Linked DNA regions of Saccharomyces cerevisiae S288C. The protein of the gene in region 2 interacts with the protein of the main gene of each other region in a biochemical or structural test. Each region holds a gene or a part of one and is shown on either strand. Other genes may lie near its edges.

Region 1 (6,833 bases), 590 kb from region 2:
GTGAACTCACTATACCATTAATCTTATCACCCGTTTATAAATCTATTCTTGTCCTTTCCAGTTGATATGATTCTGCTATTATCCTTGTTCCCCCCAAGGACTGCAGTAGAAGAGTTATGTTACAAATGTTGATATATATATATATATATATATATATATATGTATGGACATTTGTGATGAAAATATATCTTGAACAAGCGCGATTAAGGTCATAATAAAAAATCACAGAAAATTTTTCAGGTCGCGGGCGTTCTCTCACCCGGCCGCCCAAAGTATTATATGAATCTTTAGGGCTTGTAGGAATTATCAGCATGATATGTACAATTAGAGTTTTTCTTTGGAAACATGCGACAGTAGACGTCACTCTTTGATTCAGAAGTTAGGCTAGGATGTACGCAAATAAAATAAAAGCAATGACAAAACTAGATTTACATATATTATATGTATATGTATGTGGAGGATATAACACAAACAGTGGAAAAGTGGTAGAATAATTAGTATTACAAGTGCACTGTCAATAAATCATTGGAACTGAATGCTTTGTTGCATGTAGGGCATTTTCTCATTCTCGCTGCCAATCGTTCCTTACAGCAATTCTCACAAAAGACATGGCCACAGGTTTTAATAGCCATGTTTTTCCAATTTTTAGAACACAGGGAACAATAAACAAGTGTACGGAAATTTGCTAGTTCTTCTACGAGTGCTTCATCGCTCGAGCCCTTATTTTTGTTGTTACCACGGAACAATGTATCATGTAGTTTTTCACACTTGGATTCTAGATGAGATGCCTTCTGCTTGAAGTGCTTCAATTCTATTTCTGTATCATTTAATTTAGTTTCTAGATGCGTCATATCTGCAATGCTTTTGTTACTTTCTTCTTGTAGCTTTTCTAATGACCTTTTCAGTTTAGTGGATGTATTATTTAAATCAATTATTTTTAGTGTCTCTGTTTTACTGGAATCAATTAACCTGCGTTCATTATTTTGAGAAAGATCCAGTTGTTTATGTAAATTTCCTATTTTTTGCTGTAGCAATCTATCAGAGTCCTTTAACTGTAGAATAAGCTCATTTGATTTACTGAGGCTTTTAGAAAGAGTTTTGATTTCAATTAAAATTGAATCTTTGGACCTCATCGCGGCAAAATATTTCTGATCAGCCTTAGTTTTTTCTACGGTAAGCTTGGATATAACAGATTCGTGATTAATAATCTCAGAGTACTTTTTATGAGTTAAGTCGGATAACTCTCTAAAACCCTTCTCTAAGTCTTGAATTTCCTTTATTAATGCATCTTGAGTCGACGAGGATTTTGTATCGTTTGATCTTTGATCAATTTTTGTCCATTGCTCCTTCAAAATATCAATTGCATGTTGTAAATCGCTCAACACTTCAGTCTTGGATTTTTCAGCTTCCAAAATGGCGATTTTGCTTAGTAAATCATCACGAGCCGTTCTTATTCTTACAACGTCCTTTTCCAATGAACTGTTCATTTCTACTAGGGAGTCGAGACTTTTCTGGAATTCTTCTCGGACCTTCTTCGTATATATTTCTTTCTCTTTGGCTAAAACTTGAAATTTTGATAAAAAGGAACTATTGATCTCAGATAATTCTGCGTTTTGTTCAGTCAAATGTTGAATTTTTGCTAACAGGGACTCATGGTCATATGACTTGAAATCTGGGTCTTGGTCTGCTGCTGCTATCTGTTGCTTTTTTAAATTGGATACCTCAGAACGTGTTTTGATGAGCTCTTCCTCGTTTTCCCTTCTGATATTTTCAAGGTCTTTTATAGTGGAACTCAAGGAGTTTATCTCTGCCCGTAAATCAGAAAATTTCAGATCCAATTCTAATTTTTCATTCTCAGCATCTTCTTTTCGTTCATCCTCCGCCTGCACAAGTTCATCACCTTTCTCGGATTTTTTGGATGTATTATCACCATTAATTGCAGAGGAGTCTTTATTTCCAGATTTTATATTGTTTTCATTAGATTCTTTTTCATCTTCCCGTAATTCCTTTACAGCATCAGTCTTATCTTCCTTAAAAACACGTTTTATAGTAAAGGATTCATCTCTATCATACTTGCGAATTATATTTGTATAATATTCCTTCAAAGCAGAAATCTCCTCTGTCAATTGCGAATTTTCATAAAAGAGCTCCTCTTTACTTTTCCGCAAGTTTTTTAACTCCGTTGTTAATTCTTGAATATGATCCGAAGCATTACTATTAGTATTACTATCTGTCGTGTTTGGCTTCCCATATTTAGTCAGTAGCTTCATGAAAGAATCACTGCGCTGAACTATCAACGTCTCATCGCCTTGGGCTATTTCCCTACATAGTTGCTTCTCGTTGGCGTCTGTGCAGAATGTTTCGATAAACCTAGCTAAAGTTACTATCAGCGCCATAATATTTGCCAACTTGCGGGAAACATCTATGCACTCCCTTCTTGAAAGTTCATATTGCTTTCGCAAGGCTTCAAAGTCGACTCTTCGACGATTTATACATCTAAACAAAGCTTCTTTTTGAAACGCTATCACATCAGATTGAGTAAGCGGTTCACTAGGATCGCTTAATTCTAGCTTGATCTTCTTAGTAGCAGGCTCGGCCGTCATATCTGATTATTATCAGCTAGCACGATTAGCATAAAAACGGTGAAAGCCCTTTCTATCTCTGTTAAAAACCTTGGGGCGCTCTCTGTTAGTTTACCGTTCAAACAACATCCATCCAACTTTTTTTAATCTTCTTCTTTTTTGTTTTTTCGCCTTCTTTAAGAAAGTTTCGTTGGATGTGATTATAATCACGTGATCAAATGCTTTTGTCACTTTTATATAATAACGATGGTTTGATCAAAGTACGATCAGTTGGTGCTTCATTTCAAAGTTAGAAGACATCCTTAGTGCCTATTGTCGATCTGCTCTTTCTTTTTGAATCCACTGAAATTAACGATCTCAGAATTTCACCAGTGATTTTCCCAATATTATCTTTCGTGGGTAGAGAAACAATTCTGAACTCGATTGTGCTTCGTATGCTATATACGCATTGTTGTAGCACTAAAGATCATATTGCTCATTAAGCATGGGTCCTGCCATACATAATCAACTATATGAATGTGGATTAAAGACTACGTCTCAAGATGGCTTCTTGATGGACAATTATGAAACTCAATTATTTCAATCGTTGAACAGGTTTATCAATTTCATAAACAATGCTAATCAGTCAGCTAGTAATAAAGAACAAAATACAAAATTTTGCAAATCCTCCTCAAATTTTTTACGCTTGAAACTACTAACGGTTCTAAGACAATGGTGTGATTCTTCACGAAGCAACTGTACACTGGAGGTTAGAGATGTTTTGACCCAATGGTGGGTCACACTTTTAAACTTTCTAAATTCTGACACCTCGCTTCAAATAGATACTGCCCTTGAATTGAGCTTGAGCATAGAACTAACTTCCGTGTGTCTCGAGTGCCTCAGCAAAATTATGACCATACTAATAATATTGCCTTTCCATTCATCCAGAGACATGGAAATATACTCACATCATCTTTTGCTGACCATTCATTGCATAACAAACAAGTTGATTTTGATTTCTAAAAACTCCAAAAAACTTAAACGTACAAATAGTGATGACAAGTGCTCTATAAACGACAAGAAGCTGCAATACCTTAACAAATATTCTTCCTTGCTGCGAGCATTCATCGGGAAGTTAAATGCTTACGCATTTTTTTATCTACCAGAAGACTTTCATTTCGATACAATTTTGTTATTGACAGTTTCTCCTCAAATCTCTTCAAGTATTCAAACATCTTTGTTTTCATGGAAGAAGAGACAATATAAATTCACCGACGATCAGGGACAAATGATCCGCACTGAAGCTTTTGAAAATAAAGATACTAAATTTTTTAAGATCATTGTTTCTTATATTAAAAATGATTTTGTACTTATGTCATTTTATTGGCACTATTGGTATATCATACTTCAATTTATGAAATTCTCTGATTCAGATGTAGGAATTAAAAAATCGACATTGTCATGCATACCTGGCTCAGAAATTTTATTGACGCATGTAACCACTAGATTCTTGAATTCAGATTTGAATAAATTCACGCGGATTATTAAACAAACGCCGAATCCAAGGATAGCAAATGAGAATGTGACAGAGTCACATCCAAATTTCAAGAGTTTGAATAGTAGCAATGCTTTAATTACATCTGAAAGGATTAATGATTACGTATTTTCTAATTTTAAGACAATCAAATTATGGGAATGTCTTAGAAGCCTTTCAGGATGCATTCTTAAAGAAAATCATCCGGAATACCTGGAAAATATGCTTTCCTTACATGAGTCTCTATTGATAGACTATGTCTCCACTATTTCAGCGTACGATTATATTGCAGCGAACGTCATTTACAATAAGGTTCTCCAGTTTATTATTTTCCAGTTTGAAAGTTTACCTTCTCTGAAATTCATTCAATGGAGGTCGTGGTACAATGGGCTTTTGAGTATGTTAAGGACCAAAAATGTTAACTGCCAGACTGTTTCTTTATTATGCCTTTTCAATATTTGGAAGCACGTAACCATTGAGGACCGCGATGAAATAGTAAAAGTGCTGTTAAGTGATTTTTGGGAGTCATTGATTTTTGAAAACGAATTTCCTTTGATTAGAATTTTATTTATGAAGGTATTAGTTTTTAAAATCATTCCAAGTGTTCAAAATTCTTCTTCATTACGATTCTTGCCACATGATAGAATTAAACAACTATATGAAGAGCTACTGGTAAACAAGGAGGAGTTATTTGAGATGCAAAAACACGATTCAAATGATATAGTGGCGCATAGAAAGAATGCTCTCGTTTTTAATGGTAACTCACGTTTGATGATGATTCCAAAAAAACCAAATACAGAGGACCACTTAGTTTATAAGATTAATCATGATAAAAATTTAACTACAGAAAGATTTCCCTCTGTCAGCTCAGTGGCAAATACAAGACCTAACGTTATCTTGAAAAATGGTAAATACGCTTATGATATTTTGGACGAAATGACAAGTAAAGCTGCCTTTCTTCTTGCAGAAAAGAAGACCCGACTAAATCCCAAAAAAAATCACAAAATTATGGATGGCTACGAAGGAGGTCAGGAAAACGAAGATAATGATGAAGACTCAGAAGATAGTGGCTCGCATAAAAATAAGAGAAAGGAAGGTAATAGTTCTTTATCGGCAACACTGAACACTTGGCTTTCAAAATTTTCAAGTACTTCTGAAGATTCACAGAAGAAGAAGGAACAGGCAAATGAATTAGGCAACGATTTTGAATATGATGAAGATGTGGCTGATTTTGCAGAAATTTTGCCGAAGCAGTCATCTAGTAATATTGAAAAAATTTTTAAGCATGGTAACAATTCAGGATCAATGGTATCATATAATTCAAGTATCAAGCTCAATAGGAGGGAGAATATATTGATAGGTCCACCAGAGTTGAGATTTTCTAATGAAATCAAGGAACACAATAGTATTGCTACAATATTCAAACTGGTATTTATTCAAACCAATAGAAGAGTCGTCGAAAAAATAGATTTGGCGAACATGAAATGGGGGACAATCCACGGAGGCAGTAAGTACATGAAGCCTTTACCCGTCCCGAAAGATTTGGTTGCGAGTGTTGCTAAGAACGAAAGTGAGACGAGAAACTTAGCTACCTTATGCGGTAATGGTCTAGATTTTGAGATACCGGTGCCTGATTTTAATATTTTTGGCAAATGTATGGAAGATGAGCAAGATGTAGCCAAAATTGGTAATCAGAATGTGGAAGATTTGAAAGTTACTGGGGGGCGGGAGGTGACAATTTGGAAGCAGATCCAAGATATGAAGTTGAGAACAAGGATACAAAAAATCTGTGTTTTAATTGAGACGTTCAATGCTACAGTAAGAGAATATTTTGAGTTTTCCAATCGATTAGAGCATGACGGTATATTTATAGATTTTGAAGTGAGGAAACCTAGTAGTAATAATTCTATTAATATCAAAGTCTGAATAATAGAATGAGTTACATACGTAAACGTGTAGTATTATTATTATTATTCTATTTCCTTTCCGTTTTTATTATTTATATATATATATATATATATATATATTTGGGTGTTTATATTTAGGTAGGGCATAAGGATTTACTGTCGGCATGAACCTACTTGAACAAAAAAATAAAAATCAAAAGAAAAATAATGTAGGCTTTTGCACATCGACTATATATAAATATATATATACACACTTCTGTGCAGAAGAAAAGGAATAAAACGTCAAACTAATTTATTTCTTCTTGCAACGATTCCGACTTCTCCTTTAAACGTGCAATTTCGTCATCGATGTCCTGAATTTTCTTCAATAGTTCAAAATTTTTCTCATCGCCGTGGTCATCCTTGGAAGCGCCGGATTGAGCAGCAGCTTCGGCAGTAACAGAGTCGTTCTTCTTGACATCGCTGGAGGCTACTGGAGGCGATGCTCTGTATATGTCTTTCATGGTTAAAAGTTCTATGACTAGCCCAAAAGTCCTAACGACGACAAAGGTCAAAAACAAAGTTATACCTGTCAAATACATATTCCTTTGGGCAAAGAATTTCCTAGAAAGAACCTCAATTCTATCTTGAGCGATTATAGCGCCATTATTTTGAGAGGCGCTACTTAACTGCAGCTCTTTGTCGATGCTGTACACTCTGTTGATACAATCGATGAAAAGCAAAAGAATGAACCCAAGTACACACTTGATCGCAACTTGCACTGTGGAGGATTTGAACGGCTTTAATAACAGTAAGGTGAGAGGCCTACGGTATCTAGAAGGGATTGGTAGG
Region 2 (7,869 bases):
CAGAGCGAAAACTACTCTGTTTTAGCAATTGAATTCACTACTCCTCGAGATCATGATAACGTCACCGTAACAGTTTGGTCAATTACTGAAAAAAACAAACTGATATCTATTGGTTCTTCTGTGCAGAGCCCAAAACGTCATGTTAGGTTCCGTGCTACGAGTACAGATAAGGAAAGCGGCTGGGTATATCCAACCTCTATCAAGTTCCCCGGTGGATTTTCAGAACACGACTTGAGGCTGGTTAATCGATACGACGTTCTCGGTGAGTTACCAAGCATGGTCAGGTCGTTAGCTCAGAAAATTGTGAGCATCAAACCTTTCATTTATCAATACTGTCAACCTTCTAAATATAAGCACGAGAAAGGTATTTCTATCGTTGAGAGCACCTTCATTAGTTGAACAAAAGCGTGAACACTTCCACATGAAATTCGTTTTTTGTCCTTTTTTTTCTCTTCTTTTTCTCTCCTGTTTCTTCTACCAACTTTACCTAATAATTAATGTGTAATCGAATTTTTTTACATAATCACTACCTAATAACTAATTTATCATCACTTTTTTTTTTCATTTTGAGGCCACACTTTCCCCCATGGACTATTGCATCATTGCGCCATGCTTCTTACTTGCGTAAGCCATAGAACGGAAATATCATGTTCCCCTTGCCGCATGCATATTGAAAACATCACGGGAACGAGAAGAATGGCATTTTCGAAATAAAAAGAAATCATATTTCAAATGTTGGGGAGAGAAAGCAAAGGGGAATCAATAATCATTAAGGGAAGTCGATGAAAGTTTCCTTTTCCGAACTCTACCTCGCCTTATATAAAACCTTGGTCTAAACGGATAAACCGAGATGTAGTTGAGTTTGTGAATCCAGTTCTTGTCCTTCTTCCTCTTTCAAAAAGTGAAGCAATCAGTTGAGAGTGTAGCTATAGAGGTGTGTACTCTAGAAATCAGACTTTCATAGCAAGCAGACTTTTTTTTTGTTGAATCTTACTAGCGGATTTTTTAGAGTTTTCTTCTTCGGACTAATCTGTCAATGGTTCCAGTAAGATTAATGAGTCAAAAGCCCTCTATAATTGTATCGAGAAATTTCTTAAAAGAAGGAATATAATTATTGCGGTCACTAGAAAGTTATAAGAAGGTTACCATTTAACTGAACAGCAGCGGTATAGTACGGAATAAAAAAGTCTTTTAAAATGTTGCTTAGTGCGCCTGTTAACAGTACCGTGCGGCGCAAGCCACACAGTCCAAATAAAAAAAAGCCAAAAGAGACAGGTACAGCTGCTTCCTTTTCGTCGTCCTCTTCAACTGTCGTCCTTTCATCCAATAATGATGGCAGCTTTGATGCTCTTTGGGACCCCTCTATAAGTAAGGCCTCGGATTTTGAGAGTAGCTATATTAGTGCTAAACGATTAAAACCAGAAAGTAGTAATAGACAGAAAAAAAAAAATTCTTATAAATATTCTAGGGAGGAAAACACCAACGAGGTAGAGGAAAAGACGTCTCTTGGCAGCAGCTCTAAGACAGAAGCAGATAATATATTTAATGACCAGCTCACGTCAGCTGGCAATACTACATATGTCAGTAATAAGCGCGATGTAAACTTCGGGGCGAATTCGGCTGTAGTACTGCTCGGTTTGCCAACAAGTAAAAGTGAATCTCACCGACAATACCACAGTCCTTCGGCTTCAACAACTAATGAAGATGAAGAGGACATTGGTGTTGATATTTTAGTAGACAACCACATCGATAGTTGCGAAACAGTATCGATAAATAATAATAGAGGTATTACACACCAATATCCAGAAACGGAATCAGATGTCGACTTTGATGAGGCCGTGATATTGACACCAATGGATGGTACGGATAAGGGAGTGAAAAATCCAAGACCACTCGAAAAAAAATATAGTAGCAGTTGTTTTGAGGACCGTACGCCCCTTAACTTGGATGATGGTCATTTCAGTGAATGCAATCATTTTTCTACATTAGATGTGTCTAGCTTTTTTCATCTCAACGAGCATGTGCATAAAATCGACGAAGTAGAGCTCGATGGACCTGATCGCACCTTTAGTCTAGACAACGTCGCTATTAATACAAGGAAAAAGGATATTGATTGCCTCTATAATAGTTCAAGAGAAGACTTATCCAACCTCACATGTTCTTCGGAAGGCCCAAGGAATGATAGTTATGATAGTGATTACAACATTGATGAGGTCACTTATAGAGATGATGAATCAACAGATGAAGACGAGAGCTTACCAACCCCAGATCGAAAAAGGAAGAAAATTGGCCATAAAGCTTGCGAAATATTGGATTCTAAAAGAATTGGAATAAAAGTACCAAAGTTATACGTTTGGTCTTTAAGTGATAAACCGTTTAGTGTTATCGATGGGTTGTGCACAAAATCGCTGTACCCATTGAGTGATGACATAAATACTCCTGAAAGTTTGAGCTCATGCTCAAGCTCAGTAAGTTCACGGGAAAATCAAAAAGGAGATGCAACATTTGATAATGATGCTATGATAGCCGACCTTCTAAACATAGGCGGACTCGAAGTAGAGAAGGCATCCAATGGCCATATTGAGCTCATAGGCGAGTGATTATTTGATATTCCAGAAGAATCATTATCGTCTTTTAAAGGAAAATATGATCGTTTGCGAAAAAATAGAAGCACTTTACTACTTGAATTGTCATAGAATAGTAGGAAAACCTACTTAGTCAGCGAAGATCAACTTGGAATATCGTATGATGAGATGGAGAAAAATTTAGGGGCCGAAATGGATGGATCCACTTGAGAGAGGATCAAGGAATACTGAAGTGCAGCTGACGATCCAGTCAGCGACATCTGTCTTTTTTTAATTACTATTGCTGTGTACTTATAGAGTCGGTGGCATTTATTTTATTTTTAGTATTTTTTTATACGTGCGTATTCTATTGTTCATTTTTTTACCAATTTTTTTTTTATTTTTATATTTTGTTTCTTGCGTGGAGTTTTTACAGGAAGTTAATCACAACAGAGGGTTCAATCTCCAAGGCATAAAATAAACAAAAATTGTAATAGTTAGCAACTGCAATACGAATTAAAATTTGAGGAAAAATCTAGTATTGTTCACACGAGCCAATGCTCTGAAGTTTCGAAAGCTAATAAATATCATGTGGAAACTTTTCTGAGTCATTAATAAGCAACACTATTTATTCTTCTTATAATTAGTCTTACAAGTAAACTGCCTTGCCGCATAAGCGCATTCCCTCTATGAGACCATTTGTAATTTCGAGAACACAATTTTACAACCGAGTAAATATCTTATAATCATTAAAATTATTAAACTATTATACAATTTTTTTTACTTTACTTTAATTTTTATATACCCATATAAATAATAATATTAATTATAACCAAAGGAAGTGATTTCATTATGCTTGAGTAGAGGAAGAGTACTTGGTAACAGCTCTAGTACCTTCAGAGACAGCATGCTTAGCCAATTCACCTGGTAAGATCAATCTAACAGCGGTTTGAATTTCTCTAGCAGAGATAGTAGACTTCTTGTTATACGCAGCCAATTTAGAAGCTTCAGTAGCGATTCTTTCAAAGATATCGTTAACGAAAGAGTTCAAGATAGACATGGACTTTTGGGAAATACCAGTGTCAGGGTGAGTTTGCTTCAAAACTTTGTAAATGTAAGAAGAGTATGTTTCCTTTCTAGCCTTGCTTCTCTTCTTACCATCAGTGGAAGTGGAAGTCTTTTTAGCGGCTGGTTTCTTTTCAGCTGGGGCTTTGGAGGCTGGTTTCTTTTCGGCTTTAGCAGACATTGTATGTGTGTATGGTTTATTTGTGGTTTGACTTGTCTATATAGGATAAATTTAATATAACAATAATCGAAAATGCGGAAAGAGAAACGTCTTTAATAAATCTGACCATCTGAGATGATCAAATCATGTTGTTTATATACATCAAGAAAACAGAGATGCCCCTTTCTTACCAATCGTTACAAGATAACCAACCAAGGTAGTATTTGCCACTACTAAGGCCAATTCTCTTGATTTTAAATCCATCGTTCTCATTTTTTCGCGGAAGAAAGGGTGCAACGCGCGAAAAAGTGAGAACAGCCTTCCCTTTCGGGCGACATTGAGCGTCTAACCATAGTTAACGACCCAACCGCGTTTTCTTCAAATTTGAACTCGCCGAGCTCACAAATAATTCATTAGCGCTGTTCCAAAATTTTCGCCTCACTGTGCGAAGCTATTGGAATGGAGTGTATTTGGTGGCTCAAAAAAAGAGCACAATAGTTAACTCGTCGTTGTTGAAGAAACGCCCGTAGAGATATGTGGTTTCTCATGCTGTTATTTGTTATTGCCCACTTTGTTGATTTCAAAATCTTTTCTCACCCCCTTCCCCGTTCACGAAGCCAGCCAGTGGATCGTAAATACTAGCAATAAGTCTTGACCTAAAAAATATATAAATAAGACTCCTAATCAGCTTGTAGATTTTCTGGTCTTGTTGAACCATCATCTATTTACTTCCAATCTGTACTTCTCTTCTTGATACTACATCATCATACGGATTTGGTTATTTCTCAGTGAATAAACAACTTCAAAACAAACAAATTTCATACATATAAAATATAAAATGTCCGGTGGTAAAGGTGGTAAAGCTGGTTCAGCTGCTAAAGCTTCTCAATCTAGATCTGCTAAGGCTGGTTTGACATTCCCAGTCGGTAGAGTGCACAGATTGCTAAGAAGAGGTAACTACGCCCAAAGAATTGGTTCTGGTGCTCCAGTCTACTTGACTGCTGTCTTGGAATATTTGGCCGCTGAAATTTTAGAATTAGCTGGTAATGCTGCTAGGGATAACAAGAAGACCAGAATTATTCCAAGACATTTGCAATTGGCTATCAGAAATGATGACGAATTGAACAAGCTATTGGGTAACGTTACCATTGCCCAAGGTGGTGTTTTGCCAAACATCCATCAAAACTTGTTGCCAAAGAAGTCTGCCAAGGCTACCAAGGCTTCTCAAGAATTATAAGATCGGTTCTGGTATTTTAAAGAAGGCGGAAGGAACTAAACTGCTTCTCCATTGTAACTATATTAAGTGTCTATTAGACCTTTCTGTTTTTCCTTTTTATTTTTCTATATATAATTTATTGGGTATATAATTAACGGTAACATATGTCATGCATGATATAAATTTTTTGTTGTGTCTTCCTGTTTTCTCTGTTGCTCTGTTTAGGTTCATTGGGCACTGTTGCTTACTTGAACATGATTGAGTAGCAAACACATTCTGTGCTTTGTTCACTTTGATAGTGTGACGAAATTTTCACAACCAAAGGAAAAAAGCTCACGATTGCGCGATCCTGTCACGGAGAACTGTCCGCAGCAGCCCGCGGCTTCTGTCCTTATTCGCCCATTTTTTTTTGATTTTCGACTTTTTCACTCTGGCTAGTTTTATTACGCATATTTGTATATATATATACGCATAAATTTCTGAAATGGATTACCTGGTTTATCAGAAACGAGAGCTTTAATAAAGAAACATTAACGTTTCTCTGGTAAAGTCACCACACAGCATCAAATATAACAGTAATGTCTAGCTCAGAATCCATTAGAATGGTCCTAATTGGCCCACCTGGTGCCGGTAAAGGTACTCAAGCTCCAAATTTGCAAGAGCGTTTCCATGCCGCTCACTTGGCCACTGGTGACATGTTGAGATCTCAAATCGCAAAGGGCACTCAATTAGGTTTGGAAGCAAAGAAAATTATGGACCAAGGTGGTTTAGTCTCTGATGACATTATGGTTAACATGATCAAGGATGAATTGACCAACAATCCAGCTTGTAAGAATGGGTTCATCTTGGACGGTTTCCCAAGAACCATTCCTCAGGCTGAAAAATTGGACCAAATGTTGAAAGAACAAGGAACTCCTTTGGAAAAAGCCATCGAATTGAAGGTTGATGATGAATTGTTGGTTGCCAGAATTACCGGTAGATTAATTCACCCAGCCTCTGGCAGATCCTACCACAAGATCTTTAACCCACCAAAGGAAGACATGAAGGATGACGTCACCGGTGAAGCTTTAGTTCAAAGATCTGATGACAATGCAGACGCCTTGAAGAAGAGATTAGCTGCTTACCATGCTCAAACCGAACCAATTGTTGACTTTTACAAAAAGACCGGTATCTGGGCTGGTGTTGATGCTTCCCAACCTCCTGCTACTGTTTGGGCTGACATCTTGAACAAGCTAGGTAAGGATTAATGACCTTGCGCAATGTCTTCTAAATATCTTTTCTTTTTTTTAAATTAATGAAAATATAATAAATTTTTGTATGTGAGTACATATATCCGCAGTATACTATAAATGAAATAATAACATAAGTGTTTGTAACTGGCTATAACGTCCTTAAACATGTGCACTGCCATTAAGTACTTAGTCAATATTTTTATCGTTGAGAACGAACGCAAATCATATTACTAAATAGATGAACAAAAGCGCATCACATAAACAAAAACGGTATAACAGTAATAGTGAAGCTTTTTATAAACCTATAACGAAATAAGCGCTTTTCAGGTTTTATAATTCAGTCAGAGTTCTAACTGGACATCGTTTTGCAGGGGATAAAAAAAAAAAGGAAGCTTCAACCCACAATACCAAAAAAGCGAAGAAAACAGCCAATGCCAAATGACAATAAGACACCCAATAGGTCCAGCACTCCCAAGTTTACTAAAAAACCAGTAACCCCGAATGATAAAATTCCTGAAAGAGAAGAAAAATCCAATGAAGTGAAGACACCTAAAATTCCATTATTCACGTTTGCCAAAAGCAAAAACTATTCAAGGCCGTCAACCGCAATTCATACCTCACCTCATCAACCAAGTGATGTAAAACCGACTTCCCATAAACAGTTGCAACAGCCAAAATCCTCACCACTGAAAAAAAATAACTATAATTCTTTTCCTCACTCAAATCTGGAAAAAATAAGCAACAGCAAACTACTCTCCCTTCTTCGGTCCAAAACGTCAGCAGGAAGAATTGAATCAAACAATCCTTCACATGATGCTAGCAGGTCTCTAGCAAGTTTTGAACAAACAGCATTTTCCCGGCATGCGCAGCAACAAACTTCTACCTTCAATTCAAAGCCTGTACGTACCATAGTACCGATATCAACATCACAAACCAATAACTCATTTTTATCAGGAGTAAAAAGCTTACTAAGTGAAGAGAAAATAAGGGATTACTCTAAAGAGATTCTAGGCATAAACTTGGCAAACGAACAGCCTGTTTTAGAGAAGCCACTTAAAAAAGGATCAGCAGACATCGGCGCCTCTGTGATTTCTTTGACCAAGGACAAATCTATCAGGAAAGATACCGTAGAAGAAAAAAAAGAAGAAAAGTTGAATATAGGTAAAAACTTTGCCCATTCTGATTCACTATCAGTTCCGAAGGTTAGTGCCGGTGACAGTGGTATATCACCGGAGGAGAGCAAGGCAAGAAGTCCTGGAATTGCAAAACCGAATGCCATACAAACAGAAGTGTATGGAATAAATGAGGAATCTACTAACGAGCGTTTAGAAATAAATCAAGAAAAACCAGTAAAATTAGATGAGAATAGTGCAAATAGTACGGTCGCATCGGCCTTAGATACCAATGGGACGTCAGCCACGACAGAAACTCTAACATCAAAGAAGATCGTTCCATCTCCAAAAAAAGTCGCCATTGATCAAGATAAAATAACACTGCACGATGAGAAAACACTTGCACCTTCGAAGCATCAGCCTATAACATCTGAACAAAAAATGAAGGAAGACGCCGACCTCAAGAGGATGGAAATCTTAAAGTCACCTCATTTGTCGAAAAGTCCAGCTGACAGACCTC
Region 3 (5,294 bases), on a different chromosome or scaffold from region 2:
GAGCTGCCCGCACAGAAGAGTACTGTAATATCAGAATAAAAAAAAATGGGGTCACTCTTCATTCTTGCAGTTAAAAGTGCCACTCACTCATGATTTTTTTTTTTCCTGTTTTTTTGATTTTTTTTATATATTATACATTAAGTTATCTAAGTAAATATATTCTTTCTACTCTAAATAAGTATTCCTTGAATCAAACACAAAAGATACGGGTATCGGCAGTTATAACCGATAACAAATTGTCCTTATTTCTCATTTCACGTTATTTTCTCCAAAGAAATTTATGGTAGAGCAGTGTTTCTTTTTAGTATATTATTTATATGCAATGTTTCTATCATTATTAAATTTTCTTTACGGTATAAAGTAGAAGATGGAGGAATAGAAAGCAAACGGATCGATAGAGAAAGAAACTCACGATGAAGCCCTATATTTGATTGAACAAAAAGGTAATCGAATTCATAATATCGGCTCGGCATTCATCATTAAGATTCTTTTGATTTTTCTCAGTCTGCTTCGTCGTCGTCGTCGTCGTCATCATCATCATCATCATCGTCCATATCGTCCATATCATCCTCCCAAGATTTCTCTACCGTCTCCTTAACTCTTTTGACGTACTGTGATTTATGATCTTTGAATAATGTTGCAGCTTCAACGTTTGCTGGCGAAGCTGGATTTGGATCGTTGAATAAACTTTGAATGGATGTCAATATGGATGCGACATCATATGTTGGAGTCCATCTGTTCTGCAAAATATCCAAACAAATTTCACCATTTGCATAGACATTGGGATGAAACATTTCACTCAAAAATTTGACATGCGGTGGCTTATTGGGATATTCTTCATCAAACTCCAACAATAACCTAAAAGTTCCGTCTTCATATGGAGTATCGGCTGGCCCGATAATCATGGCGTTCCATACCATGACGTTATCAGGTAATGGTGAAGCAGATACACCCGGTGGGGCATCTTCCTTCATACGTTTAAAATCTCTCATCAACCTTCTTCTAGCTGGTGTGGACATGACGCTTTATCTTTTAGTCTCTGTCTGCCTAAAAATAATCTTTGGAATTCGATCTTCGTTGATTTTCCACTCTACTATTTATGTCATCAACTCTGCAACTTGATAGTTCTTTCCTTTTTTTCTCTTACACATTCCATTCGCTTTCATTTTTATTTTTCCAGCTTTCTACTCCGGCTACCCGGAGGTGCCTTTTTGTATATACATACACTAATCCGGGAAATGTAGTCACCATACTAATATTCCGAATATGTATTTGTTCCTTGGTATATAGTGTAAGCATGGTTAGCTCACACTTTATCTAATTGTAGTTTCTTCGTATGCTTCATCAAGTTGCCTAATTTTAATACAACATCGGTACCATATCCAGGCATTGAATGCAATGAAAGGTCGCCGTTCCAATATTCAGCATACACTTTACACATGGCTAACCCAATCCCAAGCTTGTATCTAAAAGACCGCTTTAACAATTCAATTAGGGGAGTTTCATATTTGATGTGCCCATTTATGATGCTAGGATAACTCATTGGTTCTAGCGACGTGTGCATGTACGGTTTTAATGTTATTGACTGCAATGACTTCAGTTTGGAGTTATATTTAGTATGGGAATGTACTTCGTCATAAATAGATACTGTTTGTAAACCAGGTAACTTGTGAAAATTATTTAGGGATTCTTGAGCCCTTTCTTTCGATTTACCGAATGACCATAGATTTTCATCATCATGGAGGACGCCCCCAGCTTTATCTGAAATTCTAAACAAATAGGATTCATCGTTACTTACTACAGTTACTATGATTGGTTCCGGCTTTTCTAATCCCTTACGAATATAGTGTTTCATGGTTGCTTCGTAAGTATTTCGAAGGATCTCCCCTAACAAATACTTCAAATGTGTAGGCAAAAAGTAAAAGCTTAGTTGAGTGTCACCTTCGATAATAAATTCTGGCATGGGAATGTCTTTAAAGTACATATCTTGGATAAATTTTTGAGATTCCTCACTGGCTTCCAATAAATATTTTTTAGCGCTACATTCTTGAAAAATATCACCCAATACCAAGGTATTTTCCTCCTTACCACTAGTGTAGTTGGCTGTGATACTGACGTGTTCCTCTACAATCAATCTTCTTGATATTCGAGCTCTTAACAGATCAGATAGTAGTTGGTCCATTTTTTCACGAGGATAAAGATCCAAAATTGTACATTCTAAAGCCCCCATTATCAAATGTGGTAAGTTTAGAGTATTGAAGCCTTCTAGCATATTTTTGATAAAATCTGCAAATTGAGAAGCGTCCTCTAAAGTTCTTATAGTCGGATATTTTCTAAAGCTTTCAAAAATATTGTAATATGACTCATAAACTTGAACAAAATGGAAGTTGTTCACAACATTAAATGGAAGTTGTTGCAATTGATTTAATTTATGCGCGATCCTAATTACCAGTTCTTCTTTTACAAATTTCCCGGAATTGATGATCTTGGTTCTGGTCAGCTTGGTAGAATCGTCATAATATTGCGCTAACTGCGTTAATGATACTGGATTTGGACTTCGTTTTAAGTAATTTTCTACTAATACCGTTCTATTATGATAGTAATGCTGCGGATTGATATATTCGGAATTTGAAGGGTATGCCTTCATGGTTTCCATGATGTAAGGTGCCAATTCTTCATTTACGGGACCAATGCAGTATTTCGTGAAATCAGGGATCTGCGAGATATTAGATGTCCTGAGAAAGTGCCGGTATCTTATGCAATTAATTTGATACTTAGACATAATTACAGAACTATTTATCCATTGACCAATCTCTCACGATCTTCATCTTTTACGTACTTTCTGGGTTCCAATGCAAGTATCCCATCCCTTCCCTTTTTATTCCTTGACGATCGGGCGATGAAATCTGAAAAAAATGAAAGTTTGGATGACTCAAAACATAGTGTTTCCCTTTAATAGAATAATTCGATTTACTCGGGAACAAAAGAGAAGAGCAACTAATTTACTATGTAGTTTACGAGCGTATGTTCATCTCTTCTATATATTCTCCCAGAGTATTATTGGAAATGTTGATGAATGCTAATTCAGGCTCACCTTCTCCTTGAAATGATTCGGAGATTTCTTTATTGATGAGTGTTAACAGACCCAAATCCCATTTGTTCCTTAAACTAACAAAAAATTTCATATATGTTAGTACCAAGAGTAAATCACCTTGCGTTCTTTTCTTTTGCTTGGCGGCAGAAAAACATATTAAAGCAATGCTATGAATGGAAGCCATGCGATCTTCATTAATAGTGATGTAAGGTCTTGGAGGTAGAGTTGGCATTATCGGTACACTATTAGCGGTATTCCCAGGATTCTGTTGTTCGATTAAACCGACAGTTTCGTCACGATTAGCAGCCTCAGGAGATCTAATCATCATATCTCTTAGAATGTCAAGAACAGCAATCTTTGCAGTTATATATGGACAATGTAGTAGAGTTTCAAAGATGAACGTAAAAGATGTGCTTTCGGGCATGAGATAGAGTAACCTCCTCAGAAGAGTAATTTCGGTCAACTTAGTGTCGTTATTAGATTCATTGCAAGTTTTCATCAGTAACATCTGCAAAAAGGCCGTGGTAATGTGCCCTGGAAGTTCTTGTAAGGCACACTTTATTTTCTCTGTGGAAGTCTCGGTTGTGGATACCCATAGCCAGTAGCGTACTGAACTTTCCAAAAACTTATTTTCGTATATTTCTGAAAATAAAGAAGCTGTCGTACACCGTAGATAGAGGTAAATTGCGCTTTGGATATCAATTTGCGGCAATAAGTGAGTACCATTTTTAGAATAATGTATTGCAGATAGAATCACAACTCCATATTGGTCCAGCTCTAAGTTCTTTTCGTCAGCTAGTTTCTTGATTTGATATGCGTAAGATACCTCATATACTAGTTGGTTAATTTCTTCTTTGAATTCGGGCGTGGAAGCGGCCGGGTTCATGAGAAGAGAGTTATAGATGCTTCTTGATTCTACCAGGCACTTTTCTAAAAGTTCTTTCATGTGGACATCCAATGATGTGACATACTCGTAGTATTGGTGGCATATCTGTAAAACTGAAGCATCGATTTCATTTTCATCTGTTTTTTTATGCATCAATGTTTTGAAATATATCTTGTCAATATTACCTGGATGATTTTTTAGGCAGTTGCTAATCACGAATACGCTCAGATTAGCCAGTAGTTTTTTCTGTAAGGCAGATTCATCATCATGAATTTTTTCAAGATCGTTTGTACTAATACCATCGGTCAGACTAGCAGATGGTTGAGCTGGAGAGTAATTAGTACAAAAATTGTACACTATGCGCAAAATAAAGTGTGGATCATCCATAGCCTGAACGTTGGTTGTTACATACTTAATAATTGCAGAAGTTACCATGGCTAGAAATTTAGATGGATATAAAGTGTCCACACGTTTCAACAATAAACTCATAAATTCAAAGAGAACGTAAATTTTCAAATTTGGAATGAATTCTACTGTATTTTTGGCCATATAGTGCCCAATCTCCGGAGTGATAACTGACAGCTCATCAGTAATGTTTGACGCATCATTTCTATTGGAGTCATTTAAATCTTCATTCTCTTCATCGGAGTCGCCAGTTTCAGTTAAGACTATATGGAGTGTTGACACCAATTCGCAAGCGGTCAACAAGCATTCTTTCGGATTTCCATTGATGGCTAGCTCATTGAAGCATTCCATCACACTAGAAACAAGGGGACTAAAAACTAGATGTATATTGACATTGATGTTTTTGCGTGAGAAAAACTGCAATAAACCCTTTGGCAGATCCCAGCCAATTTCCTTTAAGGTAACTGGATTATCCTTAAGTATTTTCAATAGGGCATCCAAATAACGTTCCTTTTCTTTTATAGACTTTCCAGAGTTCACCTGCTCGTTGTACATATCAATGATTGTTACAAGTGAGACAAAATCATCCTTCTCCTCTTGGAAAGCCCTGACAAGGCTTTTACAAATTGTTTCAATTGACTCACCCATACTTTCTGAGCCCTTCCTCTTGACGGTGAGTTCTTTTAGCCTTTTAGACCCAGGATAATATGTATTTTCCTTTATTCTTAGATGAGAGGTTTTTGGACCTCAGCGCAAGTTAGTTTCACAGCGAAACGAAGGAAAAAAGAATAATAATTACAAACAAACGCCAAAATCAAACGCGATAAAGAAAGATAGGCTAAGTAATCTGGACTGGTGACTCAAGTATTACTAAAGAAGATAATTTGAAACTTGAACAAGTCTTCAATA

The links. The genes of interacting proteins can lie anywhere in the genome.
Region 1: of the proteins of HTB1 (region 2) and BRE1, one has a biochemical effect on the other in vitro, tested with the Saccharomyces cerevisiae proteins (6 studies listed by BioGRID, with this or other methods).
Region 3: of the proteins of HTB1 (region 2) and RAD6, one has a biochemical effect on the other in vitro, tested with the Saccharomyces cerevisiae proteins (5 studies listed by BioGRID, with this or other methods).

The regions. Positions count from the first base shown.
Region 1 is NC_001136.10:323,547-330,379, forward strand, and holds BRE1 (E3 ubiquitin-protein ligase BRE1), read right to left. Parts: upstream 2,604-6,833; coding exon 501-2,603; downstream 1-500. Other genes in the region: AHK1 (Ahk1p), read left to right, coding at 3,067-6,021; YET3 (Yet3p), read right to left, coding at 6,290-6,833. UniProt on the Saccharomyces cerevisiae protein: E3 ubiquitin-protein ligase that mediates monoubiquitination of histone H2B to form H2BK123ub1 in association with the E2 enzyme RAD6/UBC2.
Region 2 is NC_001136.10:910,903-918,771, forward strand, and holds HTB1 (histone H2B), read right to left. Parts: upstream 3,811-7,869; coding exon 3,415-3,810; downstream 1-3,414. Other genes in the region: YDR222W (uncharacterized protein), read left to right, coding at 1-399; CRF1 (Crf1p), read left to right, coding at 1,197-2,600; HTA1 (histone H2A), read left to right, coding at 4,628-5,026; adenylate kinase ADK1, read left to right, coding at 5,584-6,252; chromatin-silencing protein SIR4, read left to right, coding at 6,669-7,869. UniProt on the Saccharomyces cerevisiae protein: Core component of nucleosome. Nucleosomes wrap and compact DNA into chromatin, limiting DNA accessibility to the cellular machineries which require DNA as a template.
Region 3 is NC_001139.9:389,711-395,004, reverse strand, and holds RAD6 (E2 ubiquitin-conjugating protein RAD6), read right to left. Parts: upstream 1,020-5,294; coding exon 501-1,019; downstream 1-500. Other genes in the region: GEP7 (Gep7p), read left to right, coding at 1-39; protein kinase PKP2, read right to left, coding at 1,307-2,782; YBP2 (Ybp2p), read right to left, coding at 3,015-4,940; DUO1 (Duo1p), read left to right, coding at 5,294-5,294. UniProt on the Saccharomyces cerevisiae protein: E2 ubiquitin-conjugating enzyme that accepts ubiquitin from the ubiquitin-activating enzyme E1 and transfers it to a E3 ubiquitin-protein ligase.